Mytilus edulis: one gene and its partner. The protein of the gene in region 2 interacts with the protein of the main gene of each other region in a pairwise test. Links are inferred from orthologs where the notes say so. Each region holds a gene or a part of one and is shown on either strand. Other genes may lie near its edges.

Region 1 (10,051 bases), on a different chromosome or scaffold from region 2:
TAAACATAACAAGTAATTCCCTGAAGAAAATCCACAAACTGAACAATACACATGTACATGTATTATATATAAAGTTATTTTTGTAGTATAACATTATAATTGACCAAATATAATCAGCAAGAAATGTACAAATCAGCTTTTTCAAACTGCAGTATATAAATGTATTTGAAAGAAATATAACAAGTAATTGTTTGAAAGTAATTGTATATAGTTATCTGTGGACAATGGTGGACAGAAAATTGTACATTTTTTTCACTTTGATGTAACTTTCAACCAGATGCTCCGCAGGGCGTAGCTTTATACGACCGCAGAGGTTGAACCCTGAACGGTTAGGGCAAGTATGGACACAACATTCAAGCTGGATTCAGCTCTAAATTTGGATTGTGATTAAATAGTTGACACAGCATAGGTTTCTGACACAGAATGAATGTGTTCTAATGAACTTAAATTTTTTGTTTCTCTTAGAGCAATTCACTATGCTGTTGAATATTAATCCTCTCAAAAAAATGTTTGAAGAAATTTTCTTTTTTATTTATGAAATTTCAAATGAGAAAAATTGAACCCAATTTTTTTAATCACATCCCCCTTTCCCTTATTCCAAAACTAATCTCAATTAAAATTTCTAATGGAGTTTGCAACAATAACTACTCATTTAAATACATCATAAAATATTAAGATGTAAAAAAACTGCTTGTTATCACTGAATGGTAAAGATTATTTTAATTAATCAGTTGGTAGTAAAAAGTGAATATACATTGTATATTGTATATAACAAAGATTTAAGTTGATTCTGGACAAAGAAAGATAACTCCAATTAAAAAAAAATCTTGCTATTGCACAATATTTTGCAATTAGATATTTCTTGCTTACTATTCTGGACAAAGAAAGATAACTCTAATTAAAAAAAAATTTGATATTTCACAATATTGTGCAATTAGATATTTCTTGCCATTGCGCAATACTGTGCAATTGAAAAGACTTGCTATTACACAATACTTAATATAATAATTTTAGATCCTGATTTGGACCAACTTGAAAACTGGGCCCATAATAAAAAATCTAAGTACATTTTTGGATTCAGCATATCAAAGAACTTCAAGATTTCAATTTTTGTTAAAATCAGACTAAGTTTAATTTTGGACCCTTTGGACTTTAGTGTAGACCAATTTGAAAACAGGACCAAAAATGAAGAATCTACATACACAGTTAGATTTGGAATATCAAAGAACCCCATTTATTCAATTTTTGATGAAATCAAACAAAGTTTAATTTTGGACCCCGATTTGGACCAACTTGAAAACTGGGCCAATAATCAAGAATCTAAGTACATTTTTAGATTCAGCATATCAAAGAACCTAACTGATTCATTTTTTGTCAAAATCAAACTAAGTTTAATTTTGGACCCTTTGGACCTTAATGTAGACCAATTTGAAAACGGGACCAAAAGTTAAGAATCTACATACACAGTCATGACAGTTAGATTCAGCATATCAAAGAACCCCAATTATTCAATTTTGATGAAATCAAACAAAAGTTTAATTTTGGACCCTTTGGGCCCCTTATTATGTTGGGACCAAAACTCCCAAAATCAAACCCAACCTTTCTTTTATGGTCATAAACCTTGTGTTTAAATTTCATAGATTTCTATTTACTTATACTAACGTTATGGTGCGAAAACCAAGAAAAATGCTTATTTGGGTCCCTTTTTGGCCCCTAATTCCTAAACTGTTGGGACCTAAACTCCCAAAATCAATACCAACCTTCCTTTTGTAGTCATTAACATTGTGTTTAAATTTCATTGATTTCTATTTACTTAAACTAATGTTATTGTGCGAAAACCAAGAATAATGCTTATTTGGGCCCTTTTTTGGCCCCTAATTCCTAAACTGTTGAGACCAAAACTCCCAAAATCAATCCCAACCGTTCTTTTGTGGTCATAAACCTTGTGTCAAAATTTCATAGATTTCTATTAACTTAAACTAAAGTTATAGTGCGAAAACCAAGAAAATGCTTATTTGGGCCCTTTTTGGCCCCTAATTCCTAAAATGTTGGGACCAAAAATCCCAAAATCAATACCAACCTTCCTTTTGTGGTCATAAACCTTGTGTTAAAATTTCATAGATTTCCATTCACTTTTACTAAAGTTAGAGTGCGAAAACTAAAAGTATTCGGACGCCGGACGACGACGACGACGACGCAGACGCCAACGTGATAGCAATATACGACGAAAATTTTTTCAAAATTTGCGGTCGTATAATTACTATTCATGACTCAGTTTATGTTCATTTTCAGCAATTATAACATGTATTTCTTTATCTTCACAAAATTTAACTTTTCCTTCTCTAAAATATTGTTCTTCTGTTCTATGCCATTCTTCAATATCAAAATCAGGAAAGAAGAAATTAATCTCTCTTTTAGCACTCTCCTCCGAATCTGAACCATGAGTAGCATTCCTGGTGTCCGTTAATCCAAATTTCCCACGTATCGAATGTGGGTCTTCATGAACAGTTTTCAGGACTTTAGTTGGTCCCATTAACTTCCTCCAGCATTTAATTGCATCATGTTTTGCTAAGATATGGGCACTCACATGACCACTTGAAATGAAAGTAACAAGTCTATTATGAAAAAACTTCCCATCATGTTCCTTGTAGAATTCCTCGGCTTTTGAACGTGGAAGATAACATGTTGTCGATTTTACAAAAAAAAATCCATCATCTCGAATCATCTGTTTAATTTGTTGAACAATATGAGGTCTAGAAACAATGTCTGGCTTGAAAATGGCTAAAGTTAATTGTAATGGTTTTAACAAACAATTAGGCATCTTGTTTTTTCTTTTTTTCTTCCCACTGTAGTTTTTTGTATTTTTCTCTCAAGTATGGATCAGGACTATTTGCAAATCTCTGAAATATAAATAAAAAAAAATTGTAAGAGTTCCAATGTAAAAAAATCAATTAGTTGGTGAATAAATACTTTTATATGCATTGTACATTTGTATGTACACGATTAATCAATCTGTATAAAAACTTACTACATAGCCATAGTCTATATACATGTATCTTAAAACATGTAATTTATATTTGATCATATTGTGTTTTAATGGTCATCATCAGGTAGGAGGCAACAGTCATTGACAGTCAGACATTGACAATGGTTTTTATTTAAATATGTTTTGCTCACAAACATTTTAATTTGTCAAGAACATGAAGAATGACAATGTGATTGTTTTACAGCAAGTTTAAATTTAATGTCTTGCCTTGAGATCTGTGTAAAACGTATAACTTTATACAAACGTTACATGCATATGACAATACATTTTTATAGGCAGGTAGGTATAATATATATTATATTACCACCTAATTAAAATACATTATTGCATTTGTCTATCGGTACCATTACGTGACATCGGTGATCACAAAAGTTCTTGTAAAATTTTGATGTCATAATAGAAAATATCTGACGACACAATGGAAAAGTGAGTGTTGAATGAACTCAAAATTTCACGAGGGAAATTTTGGGTTGAGCAAGGCAAAATTCCAAATAGCAATAAAGTGTATAGTACCAGATCTAGATATGCTAGAGGTCAGTGCCCGATATGCTAGTGTTGAATGACGTCAACCAATTAAGTGACACAGATTTTAAAACAGCAATTAGGTCTAGGAATTAAGCACACTTCAGCTAATGTAATTTATTGTCCATTCGATTATTGACTTGCAAGTCCAAATGACCTTTATCATAAAAATACATTTGAAGGCCTCCTTAAAGTTTTTTTAAGACTGTAAGAGCCATCTTGCACGTAAAACCCCCATGGGCATTTTGAAAGGTTGGCAGGTATATATGGAGGCGCGTTTTGAGAATGTCTGGAGCCGGTACCTCGAATTACCGAATAACAGTGTTATTATCCGAATAACTCATGTAATTACCGAATAACTCTTCAAATATCAATATTAACACATTTAAGTGACTTTTAAACATATATTATTGAATAAAATTATAATAGAAGTGTATTTTATAACCTAAAAATAAAAAAAAAGTTGCAGGTAAGTTAATATTGATCATTATAAAATTATGGATATCGGTGTGTACTTCCAAGATGGCGACCAAGGAAAACGTAAGAAATGAAGAAAAGAAAGATTGCATATATGCCTTCAAAGGAAAACGCTATGAAAATATAGTATTAAATAATTTACTGTATATACAGAGAATTGTCTAATAATTGTTTTTCAGAAAGGATTTGAAAATTTAACCAGTACATCAAAGCAATGCAATTACTCCAATCACTAATTACTTTTCATAACAATTTACTCAACATTATCTTTTTTTTTTTTTTTTTTTTTTTTTTTTAAACTAAGAATTATTTATATTTTAAGCTACTTGTTCCATTTAGATAAAACTTTTATGTGATTACTTACAAGTTTAAAAAGTATATTTTTGTATATATTTTGGTTTTAAGGATCAGTGTCTCATAAGTCATTTTTTGGCTGGATATTGATTGTAGTATGTATGTATATGAATATTGTGTGAATGTCTTGTTTCAATCAATATGTGACACTATAATAAACAATTTTATTCTTATTCTATTAAATAAAATGTAATTAAGAATTTTCACATATTCAATTCAAATCTAATCAAATTATTTTAATCGAAGACTACACATATCCCTCCGCAGAACACTTATATCAGTGTATGAAATGTAACCACCACCAAGAGTATGAATTGTTGCACCAAATAAAACAATTATCAGATTCAAAAAAAGCCAAAATGTTGTCAAAGAAATTGAAGACAAGGAAATCATGGGAAGACCAGAAGCCCCTTGTAATGGCAGAAATATTGAAACTGAAATTCCTCCAATGTAAAGCTTTCAGAGACCGACTAACATCAACAAGTGGCTATATTAATCATAATGTTCCTGACGAATTTTGGGGAACAGGAAGAAAAGGAAAAGGAAAAAACGCGTTTGGACTTCTTCTTGCTGCCTTACGGCTAGGTGTTGCCACTTCGTGATATTGTTAATGCTTGGGTATTTTTACTGTTCTTGTATTGAAAAGTTTTTTAGTATGTGATTAAAAATATGAAATAAGCCATTTCCTTATATTGTGTTACCTTCTATAAATCAGAAATATATCAAGTTAAGAAAGCACAAATTATACCACATATTTTCTATTTAGAAGAAACACCAAAAAAAGAATCACAACTGTATTGCGTTACTTTCTACAAATCAGAATTTTATATATATAGATATCTTATAAATAAGAATGATTATACAACATGTTATATATTTAAAATGAACATAAAAAAATCTTTTCTATTATATAAGAAATTTTTAAAGTATTTCCGCGGACTATGACAGATAAGCCCGTGCCTTGTGCAGGATATCTTAGTAGTTATAAATTTTTTACAATAAATTCTAAATAAAGTATTTCCACGGACTATGACAGATAAGCCCGTGCCTTGTGCAGGATATCTTAATAGTTGTAATTTTATAGATTTAAAGGGGCTTAGTTAACATCCATTTCTAAATCACAAATATAAAAATATGATAAAGATAATATTTTTTTAATAACTAAAATTAAAACAAAAACTAATTTAAATAGTTTACTATTCCATATTTTATTTTAAAAAATGCCCACCCTCACATTGTTCATTGCCGTGACGTGGCGTGAGGGCTCCACTTTGGTGGTCTAAGATGAACACGTTGAGGGATTGTATGCAATCTTTCTTTTCTTCATTTCTTACGTTTTCCTTGGTCGCCATCTTGGAAGTACACACCGATATCCATAATTTTATAATGATCAATATTAACTTACCTGCAACTTTTTTTTTATTTTTAGGTTATAAAATACACTTCTATTATAATTTTATTCAATAATATGGGGACGAAGTCCCCAATAACAGTAGAAAATTCAATGAAAAAAAAAATCGGGAAAATTTCCCGAATTTTTCATTGTACTAATGAACTCAAAATCGTTCAATTTTTTTTATGTCATGTTTTGAAATCCCGGACCTGCGCAGAAATGTACAATGTACTTCCTTTTTCCGGTCTCGTTTGTATGAAACTTTGAGTAAAATATATATTTATCAGTCTAGTATAAAATAGGAAGGAACGCGCAATACCAATTTCATTTTTAATAATTCCTTGATATGAAAAAACGTTACCTGATGATAGCGTTTCTTTGTTTACATTGCATATGACGTCATAACTTAAATAACGTCATAACTAAAATCCCTAACAACAGAACCAAAATCGGAAACGTTACGTATTTCCGTTTCTTTTTCTTAACAAATATAAAAATGTAAGTTACAAAAAAATAATTCATACAGACTTCGTCCCCATTTACAGGTAATGCCTGCCTCATATTATATGTTTAAAAGTCACTTAAATGTGTTAATATTGATATTTGAAGAGTTATTCGGTAATTACATGAGTTATTCGGATAATAACACTGTTATTCGGTAATTCGTGTTACCCTGTCTGGAGCTACTAGAAAAAACTAGTGTTGAATTACCATGATGATGACAACCAATTTTAAAAGTGACACAAATTTTAAAACAGCAATAAGGTTTAGGAATTTAGCATACTTCCGCTTATATAATTCATTGTACATTCAATTATTGACTTGCAATTGCAAATCATTTAAATGACCTTTATCTGTTTATTTTTATTTCTGCATTATTTCATGTAATTGAGTACCTGTTTCATATCAGTGTCACTCGGAGTTATCCATTTATACAGTAAATATACACCACCAATATATGGTATTGAATAAAGCGACAACTTTATGAGCGACATGATACCATACCCTCTGCTTCTGGATTAAAATTAAAGTACCTTTTCAATTTTCCATGACAATCTTCAAAACGTTTTAATGTATTCTTAGATGAAGTGTTCATTTTAAACCAAACATTTAATTAGTTTTCCAATAACGTGAAGTTTAAGACAAATGTTCAATCTGTTTCATACTAATGTCGTTTTAAATTTCATAAGGTCACTTTTATCAAAAGGAAAATTTTGAAATATAAACATATCTTTATTAAATATTTTCCGTTTTGACCAACGGTGTCTTTCCGAAACAGTTCTACAATTAGTTTCAAGCACCTAACGTACCACGACAAAAACAACAAATTCTGTACTTATGTAACGTACAATTTACGTAAAATACTCAAGGTTATCATTACAAAATGGAAGAAGAGGAAAACCAAGAAAAACAAGTGAGCCAACTACTTAGTTATGGTTTCTCATAAAGCTTCCGCGGAAGATACAATTTTCCAACCTACATTCACCTGACGTTTGGGGACAGAGTTGGGTCATTTCGTCCCAAATTTCCGTTCGCACCCAGATTCGTTTATCTCCAAATTTTATAGACATGCCATTTTTTTATGGGCCCCTGGGCCGACAAGGGAGCGATATAAATTTTGGCTTATGTCAACCAGAGGCATATCATACAAATTGTATTATATGTCTCTGTGTCAACATAGCTTCTTTTAACAGGTTGGGAACAAACCCTCTATATGGTGATTATACCTGTATAGAGGGATAATCCTTCTATAGAGGGGTAAATTTATCCGTCTATAGAGGGGTATTTTTGTTTAGACTGGATTTAAATCAAAATAGGGCAGAATGGCATTCTCTACTTATTATGGCAGTAACCTGGAACAGTTGATGCACCAATTGATGTACTTAATTTAATATGCACATGCCCAGTTTGATGCTTATCTGACTAAATATAAAATCTATTGTTCACCATGATTGAAAGTTGTGATGATCAGGTAAATTCTACTCACTTATGCCTCACTGAACAGAATTTCTATTGTTAGATTTAACATGAAATTTAAAGGTCAACTATCAGTCAGGGGTACTACTTGTACAAGTGTATTTTATTTACTTGAAGAAGTGAAAATAAATATACACATATAAGTAAATAGATAATGTTTGAATAATCTCCCCTTAATTTTCTGAAAAATTTACTTGTATAAGTAAATTTTTCTTACAATCCCACACAAATCCTCAAGTTTTGAGATGTAAAATCATGCCTTTAATGATTTTTCCCAGGTTTGCTCAAATTTTTTCATTAAAGTTCAATGTTTCATCTCATTAATTCATCAAAGAAACTGATTGAGCAAAGATCTTGTATATTTGCGCAAGGCATTCAAAAATTGCTCCTTTGGGGCTTGTAAATGAGCAGTGTTAAGAAGATAACAGACAAATGGGACTTTCATTGTCCATGAAATTACACTTAAATGATTAGTAAAGACATCTGCAAAGGGTACACAATTTAAAATTCTATTAGAGCTAAGAAATCTTAAGAATTCAAGAAAAGAAGAAAGGATGAATTTTTTACTTATACAAGTAAAAAATTCTGAATGACTAAGGGACATAACTAAGCCATTTTTTTTTTTACCTATACAAGTAAATAAAATTCACTTGTATAAGTATCCTAAAAATTTACTTACATGTATATGTGTATATTTTTTTTTACTTCTTCAAGTAAATTAAATACACTTGTACAAGTAGTACCCCTGACTGACTATTCCTTTTGTTGTTGATCAGGTGTTCAGATAGGTATACAATAGATTGCAAGTTTTGTCACTTTAGCAGAAAACTGGTTATCCCAATTTTTAGTAAAGTGCATATGTTGATGCATATAATGCTAGAGATTATAGCCAATATAACTAGAAAATGCCATTCTGCCCTAATTTGCTTTAAATCCAGTGCAAACGAAAATACCCCTCTATAGCATGTATAGAGGGATAATTTTATCCCTCTAAAGAAGGATTATCCCTCTATACAGGTATAATCACCATCCAGGGGGTTTGTTCCCAACCTGTTTAAGAAACTAATACATCATGTACATCTTATCGCTAATCAAAAGAAAACTAATACATCTTATCGCTAATCCCGGCTGACCCGGCCGCTTGAACATTTCACGCATATAGCAATCACTTTTCGATTGTGGCGTCAGATATTTTGTTTTATGACATCAAAATTTTACAGGAACCTGTGTGATATCCAGTAATGGCGGACAAATACCAATAAATTAAGGTGTATTATTACTGAGGTCTGATCGATCAAATCATAATGTTTGTTTTTAGTCCACACGATTCCAATCCATTATTAATTTTTACTATACAAATCTTTGGTCAGTTTTTGAATTATGATTATAAACATGATGCAAGCTCAGGGGTGGATTCAGGATTTCCAGTTAAGGGCGGGGAGGGGGGGCACAAAGTTTAATTTCGCTGAGCGGTTCGAGACGAAAAAATTTTTTTGAGGTAAAATTATATTGAAATATTCTTCTAAAGGGGTGAAATGTAGCTATCTCGAACTATTTGTTGTAAAATGAACGAGAAATTTCAAGCTGAAACCGCCTTAATCCACACCTGACAACAATCTACACTCACTGTAATTAACAAGAAATATGTGAGCTTCTATTCATTGAAACTACCCCCATATATTTGCCAGAAAACGGGACTGAAGACAATAAGGGTAGAGACAGACCTCAACCCGGAGTACACAAGCACACCCTCCACATAAAAAAATCTATTGAATGTTATAAATGGCAATGGTTGCTTGGAAAACTGGTGTTGCATTCATATTAGTCAATTGAATATCTTCAGGGGGAAAATGCAATAATGACGTACAAGTACATGTAATAGATTTGTATGCTTCCTAGTGCATCCTCCTGACCAAATATCAAGTGACTGACTGACGGATAGATGGACAGAGGTAAAACAATATGTCCCTGTTCCGCGGAGAACCACCGAGTTATGATGACAAGGTCTCCTACAAATCTACAACAATCTCCTAACTTTCGCACTAAGGGATTCATATTGCATATATGAGTGAGTTTATTACAGTTATAAAGCTGCAGCCCCACTAACAGAAGCTGAAGGTCATGCAAACATTTTATTTTGATTCTGTGTTCCTGTGGGAACCAATCTACAAACAAGACACCAGCACTTGTAAAATTATCTATATAGGAATATCAGGTAATATCTTAACCAAACCTTGAAAGACATGGTGCTGGTAGTTGTGACATAAAGAAATACAGGAACA
Region 2 (10,051 bases):
TACATGGTGAACACTTTTCAAAGTTTTGTATTTCATTAAACACACTTGAAATGAGGGTTGAAGATAGCAAAAGGGTTTCAACATGCCTGTCACTAAGAAGAGAAAAACCCACTGCTAAAGTAAATATGATATTCTGGCCTTGTGGAATATGCTGTAAAAGTTGTAAAATTGCATGCATCTGCTGCGACAATTGTGATACTTGGTACCTTCTACAATGTGTAGGGCTGGAATTGGAAGACTTTCAGATGTTCCTTACAGACAAAAATGTGAATTATTCATGCAAAGGGTGTTATTATCTATCTTTCGAAATAGTATTCATATATTATTGTTAAATTTGAAAGATTCATACTTGTTTTTGTGCTTTATAACAAATGTCTATAATCATGATAATCTGAATTTGCAAAATACTTGTCTAAAATTAAAAACAAAATCAATGTGCATAACTTATTTCATCCACACAAAGTTGTGTCATGCCAATACATTATCTATATATTTTCCCAGGGCCCTTTTTATCTTCTCCTGGCATTTTTTCTTCTCCCTGGGGGCTTTTTCTTCAACCGGGCGCTCTTTAGTAAGGGGACATTTTTTTGGTCCCCTATTACAGTGGAAAAATCAATAAAAAAAACAAACAAAAACGAGAAAATTCCTATATTTTCATTGTACATTGTACTAATGAACTCAAAATCATGTTGCCACTTTTTTTTTAATCCCGCATTTGCGCAGAACACAGAAATCTACTTCCTTCTTCCAGTGTTGTTGTCATGAGACTTTGATTAGTCTAGTAAAATATAGGAACTCAAGGAACACCATACCAATTTCATTTTTAATAATTCTTTGCCTTTGATATGAATCAACGTTACTTGATGATCGCGTTTCTTTGTTTACATTGAACATGACGTCATAACTTAAATAACGTCACAAGTAAAATCCCTAACAACAGAACCAAAATTGGAAACATTACAGTATTTCTGTTTCTTTTTTTAACAGATTTTGAAGTTACAAAAACTAGAGGCTCTCAAGAGCCTGTATCCAGGTATCGCTCACCTGACTCTACTTGGGTTTTTGAATTCATATAAAAAAAGATAAAATTTGGCTACAAAATAAACAGCACTTGGTCAGCACCTCATTAGGAAAGGAACATTCATGCTATGTTAGGTTGTATTCAAATAAGTGGTTCTCTAGAAGAAGACTTTTGTATGCATTTCCCATATATAGGTCCCCGCTGGCGGCCATCTTGGATGATGGATCAGCAACAAAGTAACAACACTTGGTCAGCATCTCATCAGGAACATTCATGCTATGTTTAGTTTCATTCCATTCATTGGTTCTCTAAAAGAAAAAATTTGTATTTATTTCCCATAGGATCGTATGTTAAACTAAGTCCCCCCACTGTCAGCCATCTTGGACGTTGGATTGGCGACAAAGTGACAACACTTGGGCAGCACCTCATAAGGAGCATTCATGCTATGTTTGGTTTCATTCCATTCAGTGGTTCTCTAATAGAAGTCATTTGTATGCATTTCCCATAGGGTCCTATGTTAAACCAAGTCCCCCCACTGTCGGCCATCTTGGATGATGGATCGCCAACAAAGTAACAAGACTTGGTCAGCACCTCATAAGGAACATTCATGCTATGTTTGGATTCAAGTCATTTAGTGGTTCTCTAAAAGAAGTCATTTGTATGCATTTCCAATAGGGTCCTATGTTAAACTAAGTCCCCTGCTGGCGGCCATCTTAGATGATGGATAGGCTGCAAAGTAACAACACTTAGTCACCACCTCATAAGGAACATTCATGCTATGTTTGGATTCATTCCATTCAGTGGTTCTCTAAAAGAAGTCATTTGTATGCATTTCCCATAGGGTCCTATGTTCATGATGTTAAACTAAGTCCCCCGCTGGCGGCCATCTTGGATGATGGATAGGCTACAAAGTAACAACACTTGGTCAGCACCTCATAAGGAACATTCATGCCATGTTTGGTTTCATTCCATTCAGTGGTTCTCTAGAAGAAGTTCAAAATGTAAAAAGTTAATGACGACGACGTCAGACGACGGATGCCAAGTGATGAGAAAAGCTCACTTGGCCCTTCGGGCCAGATGAGCTAAAAATAATTAATACAGACTTCGTCCCCTTTCACAGATAATGCCTGCCTCATATTAGTACCCAATCATGATAAGGCTTATTTTTATTCTTTAAACACTTACAACAGTTTATCTTTAATTATGCGGGTACGAATAGTCAAATTGCCATTCTAGGTTGCGCGTACCCACATCTGGTTTTATAATTAAATGCTGTCGGATCGGGAATGAAACATGAAATATATGCGGAATTTGTTGCAATTAGTGAATAAATTGATTAAAATTACTCAGAAATTTTATAAATATACATGTACATATATATATATACATTTTGTATATACAGTCCGCCAAAAGTTAAGCACCACCGAAATATAACTGGCAATATTTTTTTAACTATTGCAAAAAAAATATTAATGTTTGGTGTTATGAATTACCTTTAACATACACTAAAAAAATTCATTACAACCAAAAAGATTGCACTCCGATAAAGCAGTCAACCAACCTTTTATCAAAGGTCATATGTGCGTTTATAAATTTATACACTGTTTCTCCAGGTGGTCGTGTAAGTGTTCGTACATTGGTCCGTCGACTTTATAGAGGCAAACGAAGAGCACGTCGTGGTGTATAGAGACCTGTACCTTCAAGCAGGCACTCTACCGTCAGGTTTAAATGGGATAATGAACATCTATGCTTGAACATAAGAACCTGACAAAACACTCATTGGTCAGATGGGAGTCAGTTTCCTTTACTGCCAGAAGACGCCATAATACGAATTTCGCAGGAGAAAAAAACGGCCTATGACCAAAAACAATATTTGCACAAGGACTGCATGCATTGCTGGTTGTGTTCCAGTACGGGGTTGCTTCTTATACCGTTATAAGCTGGGTATGCATATTCTGCAGGGTAACATAAACGGACAGACATACAGAGATTTGGTGCCTTAACATATTGTAGTCCGTCATTTTAGTAATCCCCCACTTGCGTCAACATTGTCAAGACACTTGTACCTGAATGACAACGCTATACCACGCAGGGCAAGAATTTTAACCGAGTCCAAAGAGCAACCAGTCATTTACACTAATTTTTGGCCTTCCTTGACTCCATGCATGAACCCTATCAAACATGTCTGAGATGCCATTGTCGGAAATCTCAATCGCAGAGATTCACCTTCACAAAAGTTTGTCGATTTAAAAGTGGCATTTGTTGTTTAATGCAACAGATTTCCTCAACTAAAGTTTTGAAGGCTTGTACCGAGAAAGATAGGTCGTGTTATGAAACTGTACCGGAAATGAGGTTGTTACACATGCTATTGACTCAAATATTGACATTAAATTTGCCAAACATACCAAAGATTATGTGTAGAAAATTTTAATGGTATTGGGTGATTAATTGTTGTAAAAAAATAAAATCACAGTGAAACTTAAATTCCATTTCTTAATTGTGTAATTTACACTATTTCTATGAACGAAAAACCTATATGCATAGAACCTTCATAAGTGACCAAAATTATATTTGTGGTTTGTTTATGGTATACATTAGCAAAATTGCTATATGATTGTTTTCTATTTTTCGAGGAACAATTGATTTTTTAAATTTGAAAAAAAATCGATGCAATAAAAGTAGGTGGTGCTTAACTTTTGGCGGACTGTATATATATATAATATACATTTTGTATATAAGTAAGTGAATAGTTTTTTCTCAGTTAGAAAATATTCTTAAAATGGAAGAGAGTGATATTATAACTGTGGGGAAGACATTTCAGACTTATCATGAACTAGAAAAATTTGTACAGAACTACATTTATCAGGCATTAAATTTCATAGAATTGACAGGCAGCACAAAAATTAAAGAAGATATAAAGTACAACAGAATAAACAACTAAAAATTAAGATCACCGTAAGAAGGAAAACATACGACTGGATATGTATAAAGTGAGAAAAAAAACTACACAATCAGGACTCTTTGGCCTGAGATTGCTGTTTAGACTGGCAACATTTGAAATGTGCAGGGTTGAAATCTGTGCCAAAACTGAGACTACTATGTGTTATAGTAGTCTCAGGCCAAAACAATCATATTTTTGCTTCTTTAATTTGTATAAACTCAAGCTTTAATTTTAGTTTTATATATTTTAAAATTTCAGTTTCTGTTTTACATTTTACTTAAAGATTATTTTAAAATATCCTATGGGCATTTCTTTAAAATGTTTAAATTATTAAAATTTTATTTGTTAAATTTTCATTTAAATTTTAAACTGAATAGTATTCAGGTATTAATTTCTATCATGTTTTTCTTTTACAGGGACTACATTTTCCATCATTGTGAATTTAATTTTGCACTGTTTATTATGTATCATTATTTAATAAATACAATTTGAAAATATTATTTTTCATACTCTTCACTCTTTCTACACGAAATTCCCATATTATCGATAACTTCCGTATATATTTCACGTTTCATTCCCAATCCTATGGCATTTTAGTAGAAAATCGTATGCAGGTACGCGCAGCCTAAATGGCAATTTGATTATTCGTACCCGCATGCGGGTACGCGCAGACAATGCCTATAAACAATATGTACAACGTTGTACAATGAAAGGACTGTGTGTGAATAATGTCAATATTGTGCATGTACGAATTAAAGAGATGTGTGAACCCATACAACTGTTGTCAGTTTTAAGTTCTATATTTAAGCTACATTTTAACTCAAAAACACAAAATAAAATACTTAAGTCTAAGAATATGCCAGACAGCAAACAATGACATCCACTAATTAAAAGGCTCTTGACTTAGGACGAGCTCATTAAGACTATTACAGGATGAAAATGTATGTTACCAGTCTTCACGACAAACTTTTAAATCTACACTACTACAGGCCCGGAGCTCAATTTTTGAAAATTTTTAGTTAGATTCTGTTTGCCTGAAGATATGATTTTTACTAGTCCAAATAATTATGACGTCTGGCAAGGCTATTTTATTATTTTTCTGGGACGCCTTGTAGGAAGGCGTCCCAGAAAAAAATTAAAATAGCCTTGCCAGACGTCATAATTATTTGGACTAGATTTTTACAGGCCCGAGAGCAATTTTACTAGCCTGGGCTGCCTGGGCTGCCACTCAGCATGAAGGCTGTGTTACTCATAGAACAGCATAGTCCAAATAATTATGACGTCTTGAAAGGCTATTATATTTTTTTTCTTTGACGCCTTACTTCGACGTCATAATGCTTAGGCGTCAAAGAAAAAAATTATAATAGCCTTTCAAGATGTCATAATTATTTGGACTAAGAACAGCACAACTACAGTACAAGAACACACGGTAAAAATAACATTCAGTTGAAAAAAGGCTGAACTTATCAGATTTAAATGTACTGACGATGAATTATAAAATTATTTACTTAAACTTTCCTCTCCTAGTTAATTTTTAAGTCAGGCATTTGATGACACTTAGTCAAAGATGGTGTTATTTTAAGTTTGAGATAAAATCCAATAAAAATATTGTGTTTTCATGGGCGCAGCCATTTTCACATTCTAAATTGTGTTCGTTGACTGTTAAGGATATCCGGATTTGGAAAAATGAGTTATTTCCCTTTGTACACTTGTCGTTGGAATAATTTCTCACCAGTTTCTCACCAGTTCTTACTCCCCTTAAATGAAATTAATTTGAATAATAATATATGAAAAATTAGCACAAATCATTACGTAACTTGATTATATGATAACAGCTGGGACATAATATATTGATTTACAGTGGCCTATAGTTGTTAATTTATGTGACATTTTGGTCTCTTGTGGAGTGTTGTCTCATTGGCAATCATACCACATCTTCTTGTTTATATTTATTAAAAAGTTATTGTAGCCGCAGTTCTAGTTAGATTGACTTAGATCTTATTACGTGATCTATAGATAAATAGTCTCAGAGTAAACTTATTATATATTGAGAATGTAAATGGGGTATATTTCATATAAACAACAATCCGACCAAAGAGCACTGAGACAACAGCCGAAGTCTCATGCCAAAGCAGCGAGAAATGTTCAGTGGAGATAAACAATTCCGTCCAGTACAGAACTCATTTTAAGTTTTAATAAATCTGACTTCAAACCTTTAACAATATTCGTTAATGCAGTGTTTTCTTTTTTGTTTCTTCATAATTTATAATTTATAGTGTCAAGCTATCCAGCAATTCTCATGTACACCTTAGTCTTTGAGTTCAGACTAACTGGACGAAGATGCACATTCTAATAATTAAATTTAAAAAAAAGTTTAGTTCAAAATGAAATGAAACAAAACGAAAACGAAAATCATTTATCTAGTTTCTGTCAGAATCTATTTTTTACAGTTTTGATAGATTTTATTTTCAGGTTCACAGAATATTTGTACATGCATATACATATGCCCATTTTCTCAAATGTTTGGGGATGTTATAAACGAAATAAACCCTTTAAAAAATAATGACATACATCGTCAAAGTCTGTTTCTTAAATTTAAGTTTACAGGGTTTTTTTCACAAGCAAACAAAACTTGCTTACTAGAAAACGCACAACATTTGATCTCCAGACTCGTTAATTGCAATATGCAATATGTATATAACTAGAGCATTGTTATTATGAACTCTTCAGACATCGATCGGTCCTTAGACTCTACGTCAATGGTAATTGACATGATAGTTGGTCATGTAAGGAGATAAACAAATAAACAGTTTGTAAAACTTGCTCTGATAAAAAATGAAACATAAAAGATAATTTGATAGGTAATCATTTCACCTGGTGTTGTACATATCATTGACATAATGTATATAATATTTATAGATAGATAATTCACGTTTACGTGATGTCAAACTTGATTCTGAATAAACAATTTATAGATATAATTCACGGACGGTGGCATAAACTTGGAAGATTTTAATTTTTACCAAAAATAAAGTTCAAATTTTATTTAACAAACACCATAAACAGAATAATACAAAACTTGAGGTAAAATGCGGAAAGAAATAATATTCCTAGAAACACGCGAGAAAAAGATAAAAGGGAGCCGGAATGAGTAGCAGCATGTCCATACGACGACCGACCCTTATATATGTCATTGCTGGAGTCACCATCTTAATAACGACTAATCATAAACACCTTTTGCATATTGTCGAAAAGTCCAGTGTTGACTTCTGTTTGATATAGGTTTTGCCTGAATAGTCAATTAAAGCCAGTACTAACACCATGGATGTGTATTTGGGTGTTTGATATAATTTGAGATCGTTCTTAGAGCTGTTTATGCAATTTGCTGGTTCTTTTTCGAAGATGTATGTTCTAGTGGAAGCATTTGTATTTATTGTCAAAAGGTTCTTATTATTATGTTCACATTTATAACAATTAAGGACTAGCGGGACGGCTGCAGTGCAGGCGATTTGGTGTCACGATATCACAGTAGCATGGGTTCGAATCCCGGCGAGGGAAGAACCAAAAGTTTGCGAAAGCAAATTTACAGATCTAACATTGTTGGGTTGATGTTTAGACGAGTTGTATATCAAAGTTATTATATACATTCTTACTTTTAACAGTACCGCTTTACTCTTTTTATTGTATTTCTATTTTAAACATTATTCTTAAACTCATGAATATAATTCAAATCAAATCAAATTTGTATTGCCATATAAACTTAAAATATTAAGTTTAAATAATAATAGTTTATCGGTTTTCTAGCCGCGGAGAATTTAGACATACATAATGCCTTTATAGCTTGCTGTTCGGTGTGAGCCTAGGCACCGTGTTGAATACCGTACCTTGACCTATTATAATGGTTTACTTTCATAATTGTGACTTGGATGGAGAGTTGTTTCATTGGCACTCATATCACATCTTATTATATCTATAATGTAAAAATCTCGTTTGATCAATGGTCTGATGAATACGGGTCTCAATTAAATTGAAAAAAAAAACTAATATGCATAAAAGGATAGGTTGAATTCACACAAGCACTGTGTATAAGTTAATGAAATGGCAACTCAACAACAGAGAATAACCAAATTACAAAGTGAGCATTAACTTAAGAGCAATATTGTCAGAGAACATCAAAGAAATGCCATCATTACCTTAATTAATTCTCCAAAATAATTCAAAATAGTATATAACAAATGACAAGGCTCCTGACTTAAGTCAGGCTTATTACCCCCCTTTGTTATTGAATTCGTTTCAAAAAGGCATACAACCGAGTGGTAATGTAGGATTTAATAATGTCCTCCATGAAAAAATGTCCACCGGACACATTTTGACAATATTTACTTATTTAAATGTGTCCTGGACACAATTTCCTATGAAAACATGTCCTCAGGTATGAAAAAGTGTCCATGAACATGCACATTATTCACTACCATAATATTGTCCAGGTGGACATTTTTTTCACAGGACATTGTGTCCGTAAGGGCATTTGTTAATATTATTAAAGTATTAAAGGATATCCATTGCCTTGTTATTACTGGACGCATTTTAACTTTAATTACGAACTTGAATTAATTGTTACTTGGACATAAAAATTGTCTCGTTTTGCACTCATACCATCCTTATCTACATATCTATATTTTATAATATACTTATATATGTTAGATCCTGTTCCATTTTATTTTCCTTTGAGGACACAATTTAATAACATTCACTACGAAAATTTGTTCTGCAGATGGACCATATTTCATAACTGTTGCTGTAAAATGCTGTCCACTTAGGAGACAATATTTCATGGCAATAGACATTATTTATTTTCTATTGCCTTCTTCTTTGACATAAATTGACATAATAAATATAATAAAGTTCTTCATATTTGATGTACACTTCCTTCTTATTGTTATTCTTTCATTGTCATAACCATTTGCTGGGAATTTCTTAGAACTTAAATTTCTCTATATTCACTTCCATCCATTATTTATTTGTTTACATTTGTATATTGATCAATTTCTCATAAATCCTTCATATTCTAATTAAAATTCAAGTATAATAAAACTTTGTAATGTCCTTTGTATTACTTCCCTTGGAGGACACAATTTAATAGCAACTACTATGAAAATTTGTCCTTTGAGTGGACACTATTTCATATTGTTATCAGTAAAAATCTGTCCTTTTGAGGGACACCATTCCATGGCAATGGACATTATTAAATACAAAATTTCAATGAAAAAGTGTCCATGTGGACACTTTTTCATAGGACACTATTATGTCTTACAGTAACAGTATGATAAAAACAAACACAAACTTAAAAGTAAAATAAGACACAAATGATTCAAAACACTGAAAGTCTTATGACAGTATATGGACCGTATCCCCAAAAAGTAAATGGACCGAAGCAGGAAAGAATTGTTTTTACTATCAACGTGTTAATACAAAACAGTATACTTTAATTTTAAACATAAGTACAAAGTATACTTTTTTAAGTCTTGTTATCATCAATGTATTATCTAAACATGACAAGACACTTCAAAATGAGGAAATACATATGTTCTTTTCTGGACTACCTTGTGATTAGAAATATTTGTTATTATTTTTGAAATATTTTCATTCAAGCAATTCTATTTTATAAAGAATTCTTTTTAAAGCGTTTTGTGTAAAATACAGTCATGAATAAACATGCAGTTAAAATAAAAGCATGACTTGATGTCCCAGTTCTAAATACAATATGGATCCAGATGTGGATTTAGATGCCCGTCCCCTTTATAGAGCTTCATTTATAGTTAAGCTAGACTTTGTACTGTTCCACTTCACATTTTGTCAAGTTGAGGAACCAGCGGGCCCTCTTTTCGATATCCTGCTGAGTACGCATCTGGGTAACCAATTGATTTCAAACGATATATATATAATCATAATTAATTTATTATCACACCGTCCTGATGAGAATTCTCACAGACACTTAAAAGACAGCAATTGAATAATGTCTTCGTCGCTTTTAGCCACACCTCGATCTGAAATTGACTCTTTTCATGTAGAGTGAGATCACGTACAAA

The links.
Region 1: the proteins of RCC1-like G exchanging factor-like protein (region 2) and nucleoside diphosphate kinase 6-like interact in binary tests that used the Homo sapiens proteins (3 or more experiments, as listed by UniProt). The link is inferred for Mytilus edulis from reciprocal best matches to the Homo sapiens genes RCC1L and NME6.

What each region holds. Positions count from the first base shown.
Region 1 is NC_092346.1:42,632,286-42,642,336, reverse strand, and holds nucleoside diphosphate kinase 6-like, read right to left. Parts: upstream 6,899-10,051; 5' UTR 6,827-6,898; intron 2,901-6,826; 5' UTR 2,822-2,900; coding exon 2,261-2,821; downstream 1-2,260. Other genes in the region: cytochrome c oxidase assembly protein COX20, mitochondrial-like, read left to right, coding at 7,177-7,206. UniProt on the Homo sapiens protein: Major role in the synthesis of nucleoside triphosphates other than ATP. The ATP gamma phosphate is transferred to the NDP beta phosphate via a ping-pong mechanism, using a phosphorylated active-site intermediate. Inhibitor of p53-induced apoptosis.
Region 2 is NC_092355.1:44,607,822-44,617,872, forward strand, and holds the start of RCC1-like G exchanging factor-like protein, read right to left. Parts: upstream 5,613-10,051; 5' UTR 5,471-5,612; intron 1-5,470. UniProt on the Homo sapiens protein: Guanine nucleotide exchange factor (GEF) for mitochondrial dynamin-related GTPase OPA1. Activates OPA1, by exchanging bound GDP for free GTP, and drives OPA1 and MFN1-dependent mitochondrial fusion. Plays an essential role in mitochondrial ribosome biogenesis.